Linked DNA regions of Stegostoma tigrinum. The protein of the gene in region 2 interacts with the protein of the main gene of each other region in a pairwise test. Links are inferred from orthologs where the notes say so. Each region holds a gene or a part of one and is shown on either strand. Other genes may lie near its edges.

Evidence for each region.
Region 1: the proteins of ankrd13a (region 2) and dihydropteridine reductase-like interact in a two-hybrid assay, tested with the Homo sapiens proteins (2 studies listed by BioGRID). The two-hybrid records come from large-scale screens. The link is inferred for Stegostoma tigrinum from reciprocal best matches to the Homo sapiens genes ANKRD13A and QDPR.

Annotation. Positions count from the first base shown.
Region 1 is NC_081354.1:83,357,868-83,364,968, forward strand, and holds the start of dihydropteridine reductase-like, read right to left. Parts: upstream 3,007-7,101; 5' UTR 2,878-3,006; coding exon 2,791-2,877; intron 2,498-2,790; coding exon 2,405-2,497; intron 2,258-2,404; coding exon 2,161-2,257; intron 1,585-2,160; coding exon 1,444-1,584; intron 1-1,443. UniProt on the Homo sapiens protein: Catalyzes the conversion of quinonoid dihydrobiopterin into tetrahydrobiopterin.
Region 2 is NC_081379.1:12,953,738-12,961,119, reverse strand, and holds the start of ankrd13a (ankyrin repeat domain-containing protein 13A), read right to left. Parts: upstream 3,026-7,382; 5' UTR 2,842-3,025; exon of another isoform or gene 2,695-2,841; intron 2,628-2,694; exon of another isoform or gene 2,476-2,627; 5' UTR 2,422-2,475; coding exon 2,329-2,421; intron 1-2,328. Other genes in the region: ARF GTPase-activating protein GIT2a, read left to right, coding at 3,283-3,334. UniProt on the Homo sapiens protein: Ubiquitin-binding protein that specifically recognizes and binds 'Lys-63'-linked ubiquitin. Does not bind 'Lys-48'-linked ubiquitin.

The DNA of each region.
Region 1 (7,101 bases), on a different chromosome or scaffold from region 2:
AAAGAAGACAGAGGGTGGTAGTTGATGGGAAATGTTCATCCTGGAGACCAGTTACTAGTGGTGTACCGCAAGGGTCGGTGTTGGGTCCACTGCTGTTTGTCATTTTTATAAATTACCTGGATGAGGGCGTAGATGGATGGGTTAGTAAATTTGCAGACGACACTAAGGTCGGTGGAGTTGTGGATAGTAACGAAGGATGCTGTAGGTTGCAGAGAGACATAGATAAGCTGCAGAGCTGGGCTGAGAGGTGGCAAATAGAGTTTAATGCAGACAAGTGTGAGGTGATGCACTTTGGCAGGAGTAACCGGAAGGCAAAGCACTGGGCTAATGGTAAGAATCTTGGTAGTGTAGATGAGCAGAGAGATCTCGGTGTCCATGTACACAGATCCTTGAAAGTTGCCACCCAGGTTGACAGGGCTGTTAAGAAGGCAAACACTGTTTTAGCTTTTATTAATAGAGGGATCGAGTTCTGGAACCAAGAGGTAATGGTGAAGCTGTACAAAGCTCTTGTGTGGCCGCACTTGGAGTATTGTGTACAGTTCTGGTCACCGCATTATAAGAAGGATGTGGAAGCTTTGGAAAGGTGTGGAGGAGATTTACTAGGATGTTGCCTGGTTTGGAGGGAAGGTCTTACGAGGAAAGGCTGAGGGACTTGAGGCTGTTTTCGTTAGAGAGAAGAAGGTTGAGAGGTGACTTAAATGAAACATATAAAATAATCAGAGGGTTAGATAGGGTGGATAGGGAGAGCCTTTTTCCTAGGATGGTGACAGCCAGCACGAGGAGGCATAGCTTTAAATTGAGGGGTGAAAGATATAGGTCAGATGTCAGAGGTAGTTTCTTTACTCAGAGAGTAGTAAGGGAATGGAATGCTTTGCCTGCAACGGTAGTAGATTCACCAACTTTAGGTACATTTAAGGCGTCATTGGATAAGCATATGGACATACATGGAATAGTGTAGGTTAGATGGGCTTGAGATCGGTATGACAGGTCAGCACAACATCGAGGGCCGAAGGGCCTGTACTGTGCTGTAATGTTCTATGTTATGACATCATCAGGACAGTTGCGCCTTTAACTAGGCTCTCTGGCCCAGGAGTAGGGACACTACCAATGTCCATATGAGCCCATTCTTTTAACAATTTCAGGAATTACATCCAGTACTGCACAGATATATTGTTTTTAAACTAACCTGTTTGGACACATTAGGACACATCTCTGTGACATGCCAGACTCGAAAGCAAAATGTGAACCTGGCCCATCTGTCCCCTGAAAATTACTTAAGCTAGCTTGATCACAGATCTTTTGGTTCAGAGACAGAGACAATGCCACTGCATCACATGACACTTCAGGAGATTCATTACATTGAATACAGTGAACAGGTATAAGTGCTAACACTGACAGACGTCAGCTTATGCGTCAAGGGGTAATAGGAGAAACTTTGCTCACCTGCTGTACCCTTCAAAGCAGGACTTGCCCCTGTCAGTGTCAACAAGCCATCATCTTTCAGATGTTTTGTAGCTAAATGACTGGAGATTGTTGATGTCCACACACTCTGTTTCCACATCAACTCAGCATTTTTAAAAAGAGCTTTGAAAAATGAATATCAGATACTGATTATTTCCAATGTTCAATATAAACTAAGGAAAAACTGCAGCAAAACAAAGAGAAAAAGAGATCACATCTTTGGAGCATCATAAAATTATTTTTATATCATTACAATGATTTTTTTCATCTTTATTGGTACTTAACAAATAAGTCTGGATTACTTCTATTTACATATGTCTGTAATCAACTATCTAAAAGCATTTATGAAATATATTTACCATTATTTTCTGTGCTAAAGCTTATAATTGGTCAGTTTTAAGCAGAAAAAATTTCCAATGGCATATCACGGGCAAAGAATGCCAACTCAAGGTCAATAAATACAACAGTTCTTGTTTCCTTGCTTAAGTACTCTACTAGAAATGGGATTTTTGGATTAAACCATATTACTGACTAAAGCAGTGTGCAGTTAAAAGAATCTGTAAGATGTAATTGTGAAAATAGAACTCATCAACATACGTTCATTCAACTACATGAGATCTCAGCATAACATAAGTTTTCTTAGCCTACAGAACTATAAAATATGAACATAAGCTTTAACAAACTGCAATATAGACTTACACGTTGCCTTTGCACTGCCACCAGCCCATCCTCCTGCTACGCAAATAATGGCATCCACCTTCTGTTCCCCAAGAAGACTGGCAACCTCTGTGGTAACCTGCGGCAATGCAAGGCATTTGCAAAATGTCAATCCCCAATGTCTAATTCATCCAGCCCTGTGGAAGGCCCGACATTAAAAGCTACAACTAAGGTCCAATGTCGTCTACCTGGATCTGCCAGCAGCATTCACTGCAATAATTATTACCTGTTCCGCCTGCTCAGTGAAGGACTCGCTCGTTTTCACGATGATATTTGCATTCGCTTCTTCATTAGACATGAGATCAATGGAGGCAACCCACTGCAACCGAGAAAAGTTATCAGACAGTGAAGGAGACGGTGATTTAGGTTCGGACAGAAATGAAACTCCGGCATAACGTGAAAGTCATGGCCTGTTTGTGAACTCAGCCGCAGCTTCACTCGTAACTGTGTTTAATGCAGTGCGAACGCCGCCGATTATCCTTTAATTCATTGTAACATATGGCGAAGTGATAGGTTGTGATCTGAAACGACGAACTGCATTCTTTTCACTACCCGCCTCCCAATAAATTGTCTCCCGGTGTGTCTGCGAGTTCCCTCGTTGCTGAAACTTACCCAGTGTTTGGATTTAAAAAACTCAACACATTTCGTGCCCAAAGCTCCCCTTCCTCCATACACGATGACTCTATGCGCCGCTGCCATTGCTGCTTTTCTCTCTGTCGGAAAACTGATCAGCTCCCAACCCCCTTTCTTTCTCAAACTGACCACGAGCCTTCTCCAATCATCCGCTCAAAACCTTCAGTAAAATAGACAGTCCAAGCAGTCTGAGAGAAGAAATATCTTGTTCTAGCACCACCCTCCCTCCGGAGGTCTCACTACAGACGAAGACATATTTTAACAAGTGGCTAACCAGATGACAAGTGTTGTGCTGAAAAAAAAGTCATATTTCCACTGTCTGTTCTCCTCACAGATACTTGCTTAAATAAACTTGTAAGGATACCCTGGGTTCACCCAGTTCCATTAAATAAAACAAAAGTGCACCCTTTTTAAAACTCATTGAGTTGATGCACATGGAGGTCATTCAGTCCCTGACATCTGCAAAGGCTCTCTGAGCATTTTGACTGATTGTCAATCTCCTATCGTTTCTGCATTGTTTTCCATTGTGTTGGCAGTGATTGTAACAAGGTCAGCCTGTTATTTACGAAAACACCTCTGCGAGTCCGTGTACACCAAAAGATGAGTGCAGTGTTTCTCATAGAATGAGTTCCCTGATTAGGGCTGTTAATATGGTCCAATTAGGGAGCCCTGCCTGACAGATGAGAACTGGATTGTCAGGCATGAACTCCACATGTAAATAAAGGATGACTTGGTGACAGTATACCGGCCTCTGTGGAGTTATTTCAGTGGTGACAAGTGAAAAGCTCGGTCCTGTAGAAATTCACTCGCAGCATTTGTTTTTGAGTTGGGGTAAGCATTTCTGGCATCGTGCAGTTATTTGGGAAACTTGATTTGTTCGATCCTGCTATTGAAGGCTGTGGAAAGAATATTACTTCGGGGCAGATGAAAAGCAACGAATAATTCTCCTGACAGTTTGTGGATCTGCAATTTTTTCCAGTTATAAGGAGCCTAACTTTTCCTTAGGCAGTAGATACTAAAACCTTTCAAGGGTTGTTGGATTTAATTAAGGAACATTATGACCCCAAACCTCCTGAAATGCTAACTGCATATAATTACAAATTGGAACACTGTCTGGGAGGCCAAGTAGCAAACACAGATGCATTGGGCAGCCTCCCACTGGCAGATACACCACTGATGGTACAACCCCTGGAAGAGTTCGTTCTGGTTTTAAGTCTTCTGGGCACACTTCCAGTCACAGCTGACAATATGCTGCAGCTGTGCAAAACTCTGGCACTTGGAGTATTGCATACAGTTCTGGTCACCGCATTATAAGGAGGATGTGGAAGTTTTGGAAGGGTGCAGAGGACATTTACTGGGATGTTGCCTGGAATGGAGGGAAGATCTTATGAGGAAAGGCTGAGGTACTTGAGGCTGTTTTCGTTAGAGAGAAGAAGGTTGAGAGGTGACTTAATTGAGACATATAAAATAATCAGAGGGTTAGATAGGGTGGATAGGGAGAACCTTTTTCCTAGGATGGTGATGGCGAGCACGAGGAGGCATAGTTTTAAATTGAGGGGTGAAAGATATAGGACAGATGTCAGAGGTAATTTCTTTACTCAGAGAGTAGTAAGGGAATGGAACGCGTTGCCTGCAACGGTAGTAGATTCACCAACTTTAAGTTCATTTAAGTCACCATTGGACAAGCATATGGACGTACATGGAATAGAGTAGGTTAGATGGACTTCAGATTGGTATGACAGGTCGGCACAACATCGAGGGCCGAAAGGCCTGTACTGTGCTGTAATGTTCTATGTTCTATAATATCAGACTTTGGACACAGAAGGATCCAGTCCTGGCAAAACAGGATGAACTGGTAGCGAGGCGGGGGTGGTGGTGTGGTGAGAAGCAAAGGGCCATCACAACCAGAGCTGAAATCTTTTTAGACCTGGAGAAACCAGGTCACAGTAGAGGCTGGCGTATTATTTATGGGGAGCAAGAATGATTGTCCCAAGCAAAGGTCCTGCCAGATTGTGGCTGAACTCCACAAGAGTCATTCAGGGGCTTCCAAAATGAAGATGTTAGCAAGAAGTTATGTTCAGTGGCCAGGGCTGGATGCAGACATAGCTGCATTGGTGGGGCAGTGTCAGAGTGCCAACAAGGACAAAAGGCAAAATTACTGCTGGCAAATCCCTGACATTTGTGAGAATGGCCAGGTAAACTCATTTGCACTTCAACTATGCAGATCCTTTCATGCATTCAATATTCTTCATCATTGTGGACACCCACTCGAAATGGCTGGATGTGCATTCATCAAACACTGGGATGATGACAGAAATACTGCGTGCATCTTTTGGAATACACGGACTCTACAGGTGTTGTCGCAAATAACAGGCCAGCATTTACAAGTGGGCATTTGAGTATTTCCTAAAATCGAGTGGTATTTGACGTACAAGTAAACTCCATACCCTCCATCATCTAATGGTCTGGCAGAAAGGGCTGTGCAAACATTGGAGGTAAGCTTACAGAAGCAGCCTACAGCTTCACTCGATACCAAACTCTGTCGGTTCCTGTTTGATTATAGGGCAACCCATCATGTAACTACAAGGATAGCTCCAGCAGAGTTGCTAATGGGGAGAAGATTCTGCACCAGGTTAAATCTGATCTTCCTGGACCTGGAGGGGTGGGGAGGGTGAAATGACATTAGGAATGTCAATGCCAGACCCAGGACTCTGCTAAATGAGAGAGACAGTTTACTTCGGGACAAAGTTCAGTAATAGGAACCATGGGAATGGACCTGCATAGGAAAGAGGCATGATCATCAGGTCCACTAATATACAAAGTTTGGGTAGGTAGATCAGTCCTGAACAAGCAAATGGACCATATGAAAGCTGCAAACTTGCAAACAGTGTGGAAACAAAATGTGCCCAGCTCCTCTACAGTCATTCCAACTGTTCCAGAACCCATGGGTTCTCCTTGTCCGTCAAGCGTTGGTGTGTTTTCAAAATGTAGCTATCCAATATCTACTGTACTGATAAGGAGCCAACTACAGTGTTTTCATGAGTGAAAGAAGCTGCAATATTATAATATGCTAACCTTGAGAAAAATAACAAAGAAATGCAAAATCAAACATAGATAGACAGAAATGCAAAGTTAAGAAGAGATAGGGCTCAGTACAAAAGGAAGATTTACAAAAGAAAACTTTGCAGTCTTTAGCGGGTCCTTGGGTATAAGAATTTAACCTGAAACCGTAGTTGTTTAATCACTATCTTTTATCTTCATCAACAGCAAATATCTGAATTCTCACTGTTCTGACATTTCTTTTTAATCATTTGTATCACTGGGCACTTTTCCTTTTCAGAACATCAAGAGAGAACTTTCTCTAGTTCTGCAGTCACAAATCCATCTCTTATGCTCTGTCAAGGACACATACTGAAAGACAATCTGGTTTGTATATTTGAAAGTGGGGTTCATCGTTTTTCAAGCTTGGTAACATCAGGTCATTTCTCTCATCTCCTTACAGATGTAAACCAAAACAGAGGTTTTTGTTTGGGTTAAATAGTTTCAATTTCTTTTGATAAAATATTAATTCCAAGTTCAGATAAACTCTTGCAGCATTGCTGGCATTCCTCCAGATCATGGATACCGCAGTAACCCAACTGGCCTACTTTAATTAGTCTAGCATAATTTGGTGCCTTGGTCTCTTTCACCTGTCCTAAATAAAGAATACAGCCATGGTCTCCAACAACCAGGCCACCAGAACTTCAGGTCCTTGTCACAGAATTGTGGTGCCAAATTGGCTCATTCAGCATGATCTTTGCATTTGTACAGCAACACATGAAGGGCAGTTCCTGGATTACAGTGTTTAAAATGGTGCACAGCTGGGGTTTAAATCATAGAATTCCTACGGTGTGGAAACAGGCCATTAGGCCCAACAAGTCCACAGCATCCCACCCAGACCCATTCTTCTATCCTTTCCCTATACCCTGTCTAATCCATCTAACTTACACACCCCTGGACACTACAGGCAATTTAGCATGGCCAATCCACCTAACCTGCATATCTTTGGACTGTGGGAGGAAAGCAAAGCATCTGGAGGAAACCCAATGCAGGCCATGGGGAGAATATGTAAACTCCACCCATACAGTCGCCCGAGGATGGAATCGAACCCAGGTCCCTGGCGCTGTGAGGCAGCAATGCTACTAGCTGAGCCAGCGTGTTGCAAATGTGTTACATGTTGGAAGAATCTGGGAGGTCTGCCTCTGTGAGAGAGTGGTGCCTTGGAATCGTAGTTAATGATGTGAGCAGGAA
Region 2 (7,382 bases):
TGCCACTAAAGTGAGTGGTAGAGAAAAGTGTGCAGAAGACAGTCTACAGAGGGATATGGATAGTCGAAGTGAGGGGGCAAAGGTCTGGCAGATGGAGTACAATGTTTATAAGTGTGAGGTCATCCATTTTGGTAAGAATAACAGCAAAATGGGCTACTTTTTAAATGGTAAAAAATTGCAGCACGCTGCTGTGCACAGGGACTTGGGTGTCCTTGTGCATAAATCGCTGTAGGTGGGATTGCAGGTGCAGCAGGTGATTAAAAAGGCAAATGGAATTTTGTCTGGTCATTGCTCAAGGGATGGAGTTTAAAAACAGAGGCTATGCTGCAGCTGTATAGGGTCCTGGTGAGGCCACAACTGGAGTACTGTGTGCAGTTTTGGTCTCCTTACTCGAGAAGGGATATACTAGCACTGGAGGGGGTGCAGAGGAGATTCCCTTGGTTGATTCCAGAGTTGAGGGGGTTGGATTATGTGGAAAGACTGAGTAGACTGGGATTATACTCAGTGGAATTCAGAAGAACGAGGGGCGATCTTATAGAAACATATAAGATTATGAAGGGAATAGATATAAGTGGAGGCAGGGAGGTTGTTTCTGCTAGCAGGTGAAACTAGGACTGGAGGGCATCGCCTCAAAATAAAGGGAAGCAGATGTAGGACTGAGGTCAGGAGGAACTTCTTCACCCAAAGGGTTGTGAATCTGTGGAATTCCCTGCCCAGTGAAGTGGTTGAAGCCACCTTGCTGAATGCTTTTCAGGCAAGGCTAGATAAAATTTTGAAATGTAAAGGAATTAAGGGTCATGGTGAGTGGGCAGGTAAGTAGAGCTGAGTCTCAAAGATCAGCCATGATCTTATTAAATGGCAGGGCATGCTTGAGGGGCCAGATGGTCTACTCCTGATTCTAGTTCTTATGCCAATGGCATGTTTGAAATTTAATATATCTGGCAAATGAACCAAAGGAGATTTAAAGTTTTTTACTAAATGCAACAAGTTGTAATAATCCATGGCACACTGCTTGAAAGGATGGTGGAAGAGATTCAAAAGTAACTTTCCAAAAAGAATTGAAGGAGGAAAAATAACGTTGCAGGAATGCCGATGACATCCAGGGTACTAAAACATTAAAAGCTCTTTCAGGAAGCTGGCAAGGGTGTGATGGTGAAACAGCCTCCCCCTATGCCGTATAATTCTCAACTAAAGGTTGAAGTTGTCAGTGCCTTCTGATAGAGCTGGGGAAAAATGGTGAAACCAAAAAAGTATATTCTCCTTCAGTGCCTTCACTGCAAATTTGGACTGATTCCTCAACCCTCCAGTTATTGAAAGGGCCAAGGAAAGTTAGAATGGGGAAAATTTGTGGGAAACAAAACAATCGTGCAAATGCAGATTTGACCCCTTAAGTGTTGATTTCCCCCCCACCGCCACCAAGAAAGGAAATACACATTCCCTAGCTTTTACTCTGCCTAAATTAGGAAAAAATGTATCATTTAATGTTTTTGTATATTGTCATAATAAAATAATCTTTAATAAGACAATATACAGAAGTACCAATTGCACACATTTAAAAAGAAATTATACTTGCAAACTCTGCCATCTGTTTCAGTAACAAATAGGTGTCACATTATAATATAGTAGAACTAATTATAAATGTCAGTCCTCATGGTGAAGGGAACTTACAACTTTAGTGACTGTTCTTCCTTCCCACTTCACTCTGACCATTGTAAAGTATATATAAAGCATAAAAATTATAAAGATTTATTTAGTGACAAGATAATGCAATGTAAATTGAGTAAAGGTAATTCAAACTATCAAGTTTGCTCCTCTCTCGAACAGTGCATCATCTTTCCTGTTGTGAAAAAAACTATATTTTATATTAAATCAAGACAAGGGTAACTGTCGGTCTCACATATCAACTAATCATCTCCAATCTTGAAATCAGATATTGAAAAATTCCAATCCAACTTAAACAATTTAACTTGAGGAAACAGTAGTTCTTTCAGTTTTGCCTTGAGTTTTTTTGCACTTATGGTAGCCTCAAAAGATTCCAACTAAATAATGTTTAAAATTAACTGTGTGAATACCTTGGAACATTTACAACACGCCCTATTTCAACCATTTAACTAAACTGAAAGGGGAAACACGTTGCTTTGGAACTAGTGAAGATTTTGGATTCTTTCGGCTGAAGAAAATTAGATCTTCAAAGCAGTAACAGACTTTAAATATCTTCACCTATAAACATCATCTCAGGGAAGCTCTCCACCACCTACTGTGAAGTTTAAACCGTTTCTAAGCGCAATCATACGCTGAATAAAACCTTGCCCAGTATCAGTGACTTACTTGTTTCAGTTCTTCCTCAACTTCTCTATACTGGTTGCGCCAGACCAACAGGTGAAGTTTATATTTGTTCTTGACGTCTTCCAATGAACACATCCTAGTTCTTCAGCTTCAATCGACCTCCGCCCTTTCCTCTATAAACCCCTCCCTCTAAAGTGAAAAGAGGACAGCGGGAGGGTGAGGAGAGAAAACAACAGAACTTCTGAAACTTTCCAAAAAAACTTTACAGGAAGAGATGGACAACAAGGAAATACAATCCATCCAGCCTAGAGGAGGGGTCTATAATAAGCACACTAGCACCCTTTTCAATAAATGTCGGCATATTTGCTGATCTGTATGCTTATAAGAGTGATATAGTGAAATTATTACTTGTCGAACGACTTGATGCTTTGCTTCACTTTTTTCCACTATCAACCATTTTCGACACTACAGGAACCCCCCTCCTCTTCCCTTTAATTGTGGTTCAGCCCAAACTAAAGTATCGAGTGGATCGGCAGGTAAACACTAGCTGATTACTTTCTCGGCTCACGAATAAAGTGACAGGTCTACATGTTCCATTCAACATGATGTCGCATTTGGTAACATTAAAAAATATTTTGCAAGGGGGAAAAGTAATGTGTGAAAAGTTTCTGTTCAGGAAACCACATTTTTATAACTTCAGCTTTCCCCCCCTCGCGCTCCTCGTCTTCCGACGCCTGCGTTTGGTTTGGCTTGTATACGCATGCGTGACGCCCGGGCAGTCCTCCAAGATCCCGGCATACCATTCGACGTCTCCAAGCTGCTTGAGCCAGAGGCGAGTCTGACAGGAACTGTAACCTGAGTGCAAACTTCATGTTGACGGCAGTTTGTAGTTAGAATTAAAACGCGTCTCCCGTTAAATTTTAGCGTGTGTCGTGTGATTTTTGTTTTTATTTAAGATCCCGATTAAACGGCATTATTAGTTAACTGCCTCTGTCCATGTCGAAAAGATTGAGGAGTAACGACATCTGCGCCGACTGCAGCGTCCCCGGTAAGTGATTGTGGGGGAGGTAAAGGTCTGGGGGCAAAAGAAGGGCCCTTTAGAAATGCTTTTTGTTTAAAAATGCTGAGACTTATCGTGCTGCTAACTGGGACTGGGAGAGGAAATTCAAACAAGCTTCAGTTCTGTCTGACACACGCGCACAGACACGGAGGAAGTGAGAGAGAGCTAAAAGATGCAGAAACGCTGCAAGCCAACTAGGACGCAGCCAGGAAATATCCAGCAACCGGTTTGTGTTCTTTCATTCCACTCCCTTCAACCGTGCTCTTCCTTTCTCTTTATAAAAAAAGCAGCACATTTTCAGCATAAAAATCATTCGTAGCACCCACTTCCTCAAACTTGTGGCCTCTATCCCGTCTGCACAATTCAAGTTTTAGTTTGTTAACCAATTTTTTATATTAAAGCTGTGGGTTCTAATCTTTCATAGACTGATTAGTATGCCGTATTACTGTTTGCTTGTCGGAGTTAATACAGTTTACTGTATGCATCCACTTGTAGATTTTGTGCATATCTCTTCTGTTATTCACTTGCTCATTTGTACTTATTTTTCTGTAAACTTGACAATTCTTTTTCTTCTGTAGTTGGTGTTTTTTTTGGTGGGTGAGGATTCCTCTAAATGGAGCAGCATTTACAGTGATCCCTTGTACAATGGCTGCTTCAATGTTTCTTTGTACATGGAGTAATTTTTTATGAGTTAGAAATTCAACAATTTATTTTGTAGTGATGTAATTTTCATTATAATAGGGTACAGCATTTTTTTCCTCAGCAATTGCAGTGTAATTTTTGTGCTGGTAGTATGTTAACTTGTGATAGCTTTGTCAAGACTTTACAATTACAGAACTTAATATTGTAACTTGTAGAGAGCAGCTAATATTTTGCAATTGCTTTTAGGTCTATAATGATGCATAGCATTGAGTAATAAGGTAGAATATGGAAGAATTGTTGCACGCTGAATTTTAGAAGTAATTTTCTTTGCTCCCTGCTGCAAACTGTTCCCTAGTTTACAGACTCCATATCTCCTTGAAAACTACGTGAGCCTCTGTGTCATATTTGACTCCAAGATGAGCTTTAAATATTTTTCCACCACCTTGCTAAGAATGAGTTTGCACTTCCAAAACATTGCTAGGTTTGTTCCTGTTTTTATTTAAATACTTCTGAGACCCTTGTATGCCCTTGTTAACTGAAGACTGGTCTGTTCAAATGCATTTCTGCCTCCTATATTGTACACCCCCCTAAACTCAAGTTTATCTAAAACTCTGCTGCCCAAGGTTCTTACTCCTGTTTGGGTCCTGTTTAACGATCACATCTATGTTTGCTGACCTACAATGTTTCCCAGTCAAGCAACATTTCAATTTTAAATTTTTTATCCTTGTCTTTGCCCATCTATATCTGTCTAATGCCCTTCTGATGCACAGCCCTCCATGAAGACTGCATTCATTTTATTTTCTCCTCAAGCATCTTCAATTTTAATTGCTGCGCCATTATTGACTCTGCTTTCCTTTACTAAGGCACTTAAGTTTTCAAATTCCTTCCCAAATCTTGCTTCTATTTCTTTCTCCTTGAAGGTGGCCTGCAAAGTCTATCTCTTTGACCAAGCTATTCACTAGCTGCCCTAGTACTACGTCTGGTCAAATTTTGTTGTGAAGCACCATGGGACCTTTTATTACATTAAATGCAATATGTAAGTGCAGATTGTTGTTCTATGATATGGCCATGCCAGATCTCCAAGTAAAGTATGCTCTGAATGTTGGAAATGTGAAATGACAGAAGCTGAAAAAGCATGCCAGCCCAGCCAGCAGCTGAAGGAGAAAGATGAATCGATGAAGATCTTATCAATAACAATGTGTTATATTTTATGTGGTTATTATTTTTAAATGTACTTCTGTTTTTCTTATGTTTATGTGACTTACATTTGAATTGTTAATCTACACTAACCAAAGGAGAGAGATTGATTTTACCTTCTAAGTTTCAGTTGAAAGTGTATGCAACACGTTTTCATGTGAAATCAGTGCATTCGGCTAAACGTCTTTACAATTGGTCAGTGCGTTGAGATTAGGAGTTGGGATGTCATGTTGCGGCTGTACAGGACATTGCTTAGGCCACTTCTGGAATACTGCATTCAGTTCTGGTCTCCTTGCTATAGGAAGGATTTTGTATAACTTGAAAGGGTTCAGAAAAGATTTACAAGGATATTGCCAGGCATGGACGGTTTGAACTGTTGGGGGAGGCTGAATAGGCTGGGGCTATTTTCCTGGGAGCATCAGAGACTGAGAAGTGACCTTATAGAGGTTTGTAAAATCATGAGGGGCATGGATAGGTTGAATAGTCAAGGTCTTTTCCCTGGGGCAGGGGAGTCCAAAACTAGAGGGCATAGGTTTAAGGTGAAAGGGGAAAGACTTAAAAGGTCCTAAGGGGCAGCTTTTCCACACAGATAATGGTGCATACATGGAATGACCTGTCAGAGGAAGTGGTGGAGGCAGGTACAGTTACAACTTCTAAGAGGCATCAGGATAGTTATATAAATAGGATGGATTTAGAGGGATATGGGCCAAGTGCCTGCAAATGGGAACAGATTCATTTAGGATATCTGGACGGCATGGCCGAGTTGGACATGCTGTACAGCTTTATGATCATAGTCATTTGTAACCTTTCTGAAAGTCTCCTGAAAACTGCTCTTTTATGATTGTATTGCTTATTGCCTCCCTATTAACTGTCCCAATGTCCATAGATACCTTATAGTGTTTATCTTTAATTCTTTAAAACTAAACTCTACATAAATATAAGCCTACTTTCAACAAAAAGTTTAAGATGCCTTGACTGAATTTAACTTTACCTACATTGTTCGCCTACACAGCAAGTCAATTTCTTCTCCAAAATGGCAACCATGTTTTAGAAATCTTGCATTTATGTTGTATTTTTCCTGATGACTGTCACACATCACTTTAGAACCAATGAATGATGTAGTCACTGTAATTTTGGAACTAAAGCAATCAATTTGTGCTCTGTCAGCTCTGTGCTACAGCATGTGATGATGGCCAGGTAATCTGTGGTGTGGATTCTTGGGATTAACCAGGACACGGGGTTTTGACATTCAAGTGAGCAAATAGTTGGACCTCCTTTCTAAAATTTACGGAAGGACGCCATGTGCCATTGCTGCACTCCTTCAGTACTGCAGTTTTAGTCTTAATATATGCTGAGGCTCTGATGTTGGACTTAAACTTGCTGTGGTTTGTTTCTCCAGTGTTTCACTTGGATTTCAATAAATAGTTATGACCATGTGAACTTTTCATATCATGGCTCTTTTCACAATTCAAGGGATTAAGCAATGGTTATTAACTGCTCTTCTTCCAAATTGTGGTCAAAAATGTAGTAAGTATCTGAGGTCCACAAAAGCTGGTTGTTGGCTACAGTACAGTGTGGAGCTGGAGGAACACTGCAGGCCAGGCAGCATCAGAGGAGCTTGAAAGTTGACGTTTCATGTCAGGATCCTTCTTCAGTCACAATTTGAATCATCAACTTTCCTGCTTCTCTGATACTGCCTGGCTTGCAGTGTTCCTCCAGCTCCTCACTGTTGTCGCTAGCTGCAGTATCTTGAGGTTCTTGCAATCTCTGAACTTTTTGTTGGAAACTGACTTACCACTGATGTTATATCAGAGATAATGGGAACTGCAGATGCTGGAGAATCTGAGATAACAAAGTGTGGAGTTAGATGAACACAGCAGGCCAAGCAGTTTCTTAGGAGCACACAAGCTGACGTTTCGGGCGTAGACCCTTGATCAGAAAAGGGGGATGGGGAGAGGGTTCTGAAATAAAAAGGGAGAGAGGGAGAGGCAGATCGAAGATACGGAGAGGAGACAGACAAGTTAAAGGAGCGGGAATGGAGACTGTAGAGGTGAGTATCGGTGGGGAGGTAGGGAGGATGGACAGGTCAAGGGGGTGGGATGAGATTAGGAGGTAGGGAATGGAGGTGTGGCTTGAGGTGAGAGGAAGAACACGTTCGGGAGGCAGGTCCACCCACTGCATCCCAAATCCAGCCCAG